2 linked regions of the Drosophila melanogaster genome follow. The protein of the gene in region 1 interacts with the protein of each later gene in a pairwise test. Each region holds a gene or a part of one and is shown in the gene's direction. Other genes may lie near its edges.

Region 1 (3,201 bases):
GGAAGCCCTAGCCAAGCGGACGGTAAAGCAGCGCCGATCCATGCGTAGTCGGTCATCAATGGTCGCCAAATGGGCCATTCTCCGCGGGCTGGGTGTTCGTCGGTTGTACGGGTGATCCTCGTCATCGTCCGCCTCTCCCTGCTGCCGACCCAGACGGTGTTCCTCCGTCTCCATTTCCTCCTCCTCCAGATCACTGCCCGAAGTTGAGGCCGACGTGGAAGTGGAGTGCTGCTGGGGATTGTGCCCCTGCTGCTGGTGGTGCTGATGCTGATAGAACAGGGTCTCTATATCCCTGGGTATTAGCTGCTGTCTTAACAGATCCTGATCATCGGGATGCGTGATCTGCAGTAGATTCTGGCCATACAAATCGGACTGACAGTGACCCAATAGCTGCTCCACGCTGGTGGATACCAAAACGATTTGGCCACTGCAGGTTAGGGTGAGGAAGCAGCAGTCCAGCAGTTGCATTAGAGTGTCCGTTAGATGCAGACTGGGATTGGGTAGATCTCCGACAGGTGAGGCAGACATACCCGTTCCCTTGAGGCCGGTTTTCTTGCGACGTCTGGAAGCGGACTTGCCAAAGACATACTGAAGTCTCAGGCCATGGGTGGCGAATCTAAGGACGGCGGTTTTGTCCAGGCGACGGGAGGATTCGGCTGCATGTGGTACCATGGTGGCCAGCTCCTGGATGCTGGCATTAAGCTTATCCCGTCGCTGTTTTTCGGCAAGGTTACGGGCCTCCCGTCCATTCGCTGGATCTGAGGAGCTCCCACTTCCCGATCCCGATCCCGATCCCGATCCTGTCGAGCCAGCGGATCCTGTGGAGCCCGTGTTGCCCGTCTCTGGTGCTGCCATTTTGGACTTTTTGGGCGTTTTCTGGAGTTACTGCCTCCTTGTTTTCCACTTGTAATCCTCGATTTATGGATTTTCCCCTTTAATTGGCGCCTTGCGGTAAATGAAAATCGTCACTCTCCATAACAGGGTGTACGCTCCGCACTTCTAGAATTGTTATTATGGAAATTTTTCGGCTAAAATATATTTTTTATTACTTTTGCAGCTTTTAGTTTCTTATTTTTGGCTGTTGTCTTGTTTTTTTTGCTGCTTTTAAAGTTTTCAAGGTCTCGCTTATGCTGTGCTGTTGTTTTTGTTTTTGCTCGCCTCCCCTCTCTCGCTCACTCTCCTTCGCTCACTGACACACACACACACACGTCACTCTCACGCAACGTACATATGTTTTCTCTTTTCGCTTTCGTACTTTTCCACTTGCTTTTAGTCTTATTATTACTATTATTTGCTTCCCTATTTATTTATGCGTTTCGCCTTGTAGTTTTTTATTTTTCGTTTTTTTTTTACGTTTTGATTGCGTTGCGAATCTGAATCTCCTGCTTATTGTTGTTGCTGTTGCTGGTGGCGTTGTTGTTGTTGCGATTTAATGCCCGCAATAAGGAAATTCGGAGGGCGGCGGTCGTTTTAACAACGCACTTGCTGCTTGCACTTATTTTTGTTTATACTAAGTGATTAATTGTTTATTTGTAACATTTATTTTATAACAATAAACATTGGCCAGTCTAAAAACTATCGATACATCGATGTAACTGGTTGTCGTACTAAAATTCGCACGTTCACACCGGACAAAATATCAGAAAGATTCGAACATCTTGTTCGCTGTCGATAACATTGTTGTAATACATGTAATCTATCAGGTCTTTTTATAATTCTATTATAAATTATTTTTATTAATTCTTATTATAATACATAAGTCCACAGTAATAATGTAATAACTTTTGATGTTACAATAAATCCATAAATATTTTTGCTACAAAATTCGAATAATTTCGATAGCAGACGTCATGCAATTTTATTATCGATTAGCACGCTCGATAACTATTGGCGCTCTTTCTTGTTTACGGCATTTCATTTTCTGCTGAAATTGGCTGTTTTTTGAACGTTATTAACTGAGGAGTTATTATGGATGCCTTTGATCCACGCTCGATTATCAACGGCGGCATGCTGAAGCAGTTTTCCGGCCAAACCGTGAGCATAATGGTTCGCGTGGAGAGCGTCGCGGGATCCACTTTGCTGGCCAGTTCCACAGACAACCACAAGCTAAAGATCAATCTGCCGGGTGAGCTGGGCGCCGCCGAAGGGGCCTGGGTCGAGGTCATTGGAGTGCCCCATGGTGCGGACACCCTCAGGGCCAAGGAGGTGGGTGCACTCAATCCATGGAGTCATTTATTTCAATGATCCCAAACCATTTGCCCACTATTCATTTGCAGGTCATCGAGTTTGGCGGCGAGAACATCGACTTCGATAAGGATGGCTATAATGGATTGAGCCACCTGATTAACAATGTCAAGGCCTTCTATCGCAGCGGCTAGGATGTCCACAATTATATCTAAGAATTAATATTATGTACTCTAATGTTATTTTTTCCATTTTTTTGGAGAACACTCAGAGCTGGCATTAACTTTAAATATAAATCATCTATCTACATATATTACGAGTACAATTTACGGGTGTTTTAACCAGTTCCACGTATATTCTACAACAAATACTTAATACCCACAATTTAATAACATAAACAACACATTCTTAAACGCTCTTGTGTAATAACATTTACTTCCACAATTTGTTATTGTATATATGTTGGTATAAAAAGACTAACTAGCAGATAATCAATTCAACAGTTGAACAATTAACATAGGGCGAGCCAGCTGACGAGTGATGACCAGTTGCATGGACTCCAAGTCCGTATGCAACTTGAGGGTTATTGCAGCACAGCCGCATTGGCCACCACGCTAGGATTGTTGACCACCTCGCCGAGCGAATCGAGAACCTCCTTTCTGTAGTCATCGAACTCTCCAACAATCTCGTTGATCGTCTGATCCTCAATTACGTAGAGAGTGCAACCTGTTTCACGGATCAAACGCTCGTCGTGGGAGACGATGATCACGCCACCCTCGTACTCGTTGATTGCCTCCGCCAAGGCGTCGATACTCTCGATGTCCAGATTGTTCGTAGGCTCATCGAGAATTAGTACATCCGGCGCACTCAAGCATAGCTCAGCGAGGGCCACACGGGCTTTCTGACCACCGGACAGATCCTTCATCTTGATGGTGTGTGCATGACTGACCAAACCAAAGGAACCCAATGCCTTACGCGCCTTTTCGTGGGGCAGATTGAACAGACGCTGCAGGTACT
Region 2 (3,649 bases), on another chromosome or scaffold:
TGAAGCGCAGAAATTGTATTAGCTATGGCCAAAAATGTAAAGAAATTAACGTTGGCCAACAAGTTGGCAAAACGCGGAGATCTTATAAAACCCACGGAAATAAAAAGTCGTCCAAATAGGGCGGATAACGTGAGGGTAGGCGGAAATGCATGATAAACAATGAAATTGATACTCAAGACGCAGTTTCTAAATCTTCCAGGATATAGAGGATCTGGTTGGTGTATCTGCTGGCGCAGCAGGATCGAGTAGCTCAGTGTTCTTCTCCCCCGTGCAAACCCGCAAGCAGCGTCTCTTAAATGGGGAAGCCGTGAAGAAAACTAACATTAAAATGGAGCCCTTGTCTCCAGCTCGAGTGGCACCCAAAAAGTTTAGAAAGGATGATCGCATGGTAACCAGAGTTCAAATGGGTTCGGCTACTGTGGTCATATGCAAGGTGGTCCCTGATGCTGTGGACTCCCCAGTGAGAGTGGATAAGATAAGAGAGGAGGTGGAACCCCAAATAAAACAGGAAGCTCCGGAGGATTCCCCTTCTTTTTCTGAGGTGCAAGCACCACATCCTTTGTGGTTTAACCACCTAGAAAACATTCGCATTATGAGAAACTCCAGAACTGCGCCAGTGGACACCATGGGATGCCACCGATGCGCCGATTTAAAAGCAGACTCGAAGGTATTTCCAATAAGTGGAATTAAGTACATAGAAGAATATGTTACAAGCAAACAACTTCCTTGCAGACCCAGCGCTTCCAAAACTTAGTGGCATTGATGCTGTCCAGTCAAACCAAAGACCAAACTACTTATGAAGCCATGAATCGCCTTAAAGACCGAGGTCTAACTCCACTGAAAGTAAAGGAAATGCCAGTGACTGAACTCGAGAATTTACTGCATCCCGTATCCTTCTACAAGGTTTGGTGGAATTAATAATAAATAAATATATCGCACTTACTCTCGATCTCTTCCAGAACAAAGCTAAATACCTCAAGCAAACCGTGGAGATACTGACGGACAAGTATGGTTCGGACATTCCAGATAATGTCAAGGACCTTGTAGCTCTTCCAGGAGTTGGCCCCAAGATGGCCCATATATGCATGGCAGTGGCCTGGAACAAGATAACCGGAATCGGAGTGGACGTCCACGTCCACCGCCTTTCTAACAGGCTGGGCTGGGTGCCGAAGCCCACCAAGGAGCCCGAGCAAACCCGTGTGGCGTTGGAGAAGTGGCTGCCATTCAGCCTCTGGTCAGAGGTCAATCATTTGTTCGTGGGATTCGGACAAACCATTTGCACCCCAGTGAAGCCAAATTGTGGGGAGTGCCTGAACAAGGACATTTGTCCTTCAGCCCATGCTGAAACTAAAGAAAAAAGGAAGAAAGACCGATAGGAAAGAGGTTCAGCGAACGCTGAAAAAGGTTTTAGGTTTCTAAGTGTTTCTGAAATTATTAGTGCTAAGAAAAATATTGTGTTACCCATAAGAAAATAAATGAATTATTAAGGGGGCTGTAAGTCCTGTAAAAAATAAAAAATTTTGTGGTTTTTCTTTTTTTGTTTTAACTGAAAAAGGTATATTCCCAATTTATTACAATAATTCAGTTTTTCAGGAAAAATATTGAAATATTGACACTACAATATTTCGTATTTCTTATATACTAAATAGATGTTATTCCTACGTGTTCGACCTACGGCCACACTATCAGCTCTACGTTCGCGCGTTTTATTGTTTACCAGCGGCCCTTGTGAAATTATATAGAATACTCAATTACAAATCCCTCAAAAGCCAAGAAAATGAATGATTCATGTAAGTATAGCCCGTAGCTCAGAGAAATTAAGGGAACTAATAACGAAGCTCGTTTTAGTTGGAGATTTCAATGCCACACAAACTGCGCCAACTGGAGCCGCCAGCAATCAAAAGGGAGAAGTAAGTGAGTGAGACGCCAGTAAAGTTGCACAACCTAACATGATTCCGTATGATTGCAACTAGGGAATAGTGCCCCTGGTGGTGAAGCAGATTGTGGACGCCCCAGAGGGAAACATCGAGTTGTTCGGCATGCAGTACGCCATGGCATGTGTTGTGGCCATAGTGCGGAACGTGGAGACTTCCTCGACGAAGATCACCTACACCCTGGAGGATCATAGCGGCAGGATCGATGCGCACTACTGGCTTGAGGAGGGCGACGCTCTCAAGGCACCCGAAGTAATGGTCAACAACTACGTGAAGGTCTACGGCACCACCCGGTCGCAAGGCGGTTCCAAAACCCTAATGATCTTCAAGCTACTGCCCGTTTTGGATCCCAACGAGGTGTGCACCCACCTGCTGGAAGTACTCAATGCCCGCTACAGGGCCGAGGACTACCAGAGCAAGGGTGGAGCTGGAGCTGGTGCAGGGGCTTCTTCCGGCTCAGGCTCCATAGCTGATTTCACCGCCTCCCAGAGCTCGGCCATTGTCAGTGGGCTGGAGCCCAAGCAGCAGGCCGTATTCCAGGCCATCAAGAGCAATGTTTCCGAGGAGGGCATCTCCCGCAAGGAACTGAAAGCCAAATTCTCCCACATCAGCGACTCTGAGTTGACGTAAGTTGTTTATCCAAAACTATTGCATCATTTGATATTCTTTATTAATTAATATTAATTATAACATTTTATTGTTCCTATTTTTACAGCAACATTCTGGACTTTATGATTTCCGAGGGACACATTTATTCCAGCATTGACGCAGATCACTTTATTTGCACAATGTAAATCAAATCGTGTAACCACTATTTAATTTAAAAATGCGTATTGAATATATGTATTAAGTTTTTGAAAAACGGGAACATTTTCCATATATTAGTTGTACATTAAATATTTCTTATATAATCAGAAAGTGATTTTGGGATATTTTTTATTGGGACTGTTGAAAATGTGTATTTGAGGAAATCTTGCTCTTCAAGTTGCCGGTGTATGTGTATATTTACGGCTTATCATATGAAAAGTCTTCGGATTCATAGTCCTAAGGGAATTTAAAATATCTTACAAAAAAGATAGAAAACCTGAAATATTTTAATTATTTTATGTTTAATTAATATTCTTGTTCATTTATAAAATTGTAATGGATTATAAAGTTTTTTTGAATCGTTTCACTTTGCTTCATTTGATAAAAGGATGTGATAAGTTCATACCGCTTTATTTCATTATCAATTTATTTTTTAGATATATAACTAACTAACTTTTAACGCTAGTAAGTTAATTGTTTAATTAGGTAATGCATATTTTGATTGTATATCGGGCATAGTTAGATCGGATTGCAAAAAATTTATAAAATTCATTCAATGCGTTTTATTTCATTAGTTTTTGAATTTATCATAGAAAATTACAAGCTCAGGAATCAAAATCAAAACATAATAGGCATGCAAATCAAAAATTAAGATTAATATTTGTTGTGGGAATTTATAGCGCAAGAGAGCATTCCCCTTGGTCCCCAGGATCTTGCCAGTGAAGTTGAACTGCGCAAGTGTAAGGATTCATTTTGCGGTCGGAGTGGATAGCTAATTGTATAAAAAACCACCTTGGGATACTGATTAACGGGCACGAAGACCTTTTGGGTAATCTTTATCGGCTTCTGCTTGTACACGTCTGCGTATAACTCCTTGCCGGGAATACGTCCAGTGCCATAGACACGGT

Evidence for each region.
Region 2: the proteins of RPA3 (region 1) and RPA2 interact in a two-hybrid assay, tested with the Drosophila melanogaster proteins (3 studies listed by BioGRID).

The regions. Positions count from the first base shown.
Region 1 is NC_004354.4:11,614,522-11,617,722, reverse strand, and holds RPA3 (replication protein A3), read left to right. Parts: upstream 1-1,882; 5' UTR 1,883-1,968; coding exon 1,969-2,205; intron 2,206-2,276; coding exon 2,277-2,378; 3' UTR 2,379-2,626; downstream 2,627-3,201. Other genes in the region: Met (Methoprene-tolerant), read right to left, coding at 1-855; CG1703 (uncharacterized protein), read right to left, coding at 2,768-3,201.
Region 2 is NT_033779.5:20,924,175-20,927,823, reverse strand, and holds RPA2 (replication protein A2), read left to right. Parts: upstream 1-1,676; 5' UTR 1,677-1,777; coding exon 1,778-1,790; intron 1,791-1,848; coding exon 1,849-1,910; intron 1,911-1,973; coding exon 1,974-2,560; intron 2,561-2,649; coding exon 2,650-2,728; 3' UTR 2,729-2,849; downstream 2,850-3,649. Other genes in the region: Nthl1 (Nth-like DNA glycosylase 1), read left to right, coding at 25-135, 200-667, 733-903, 960-1,376.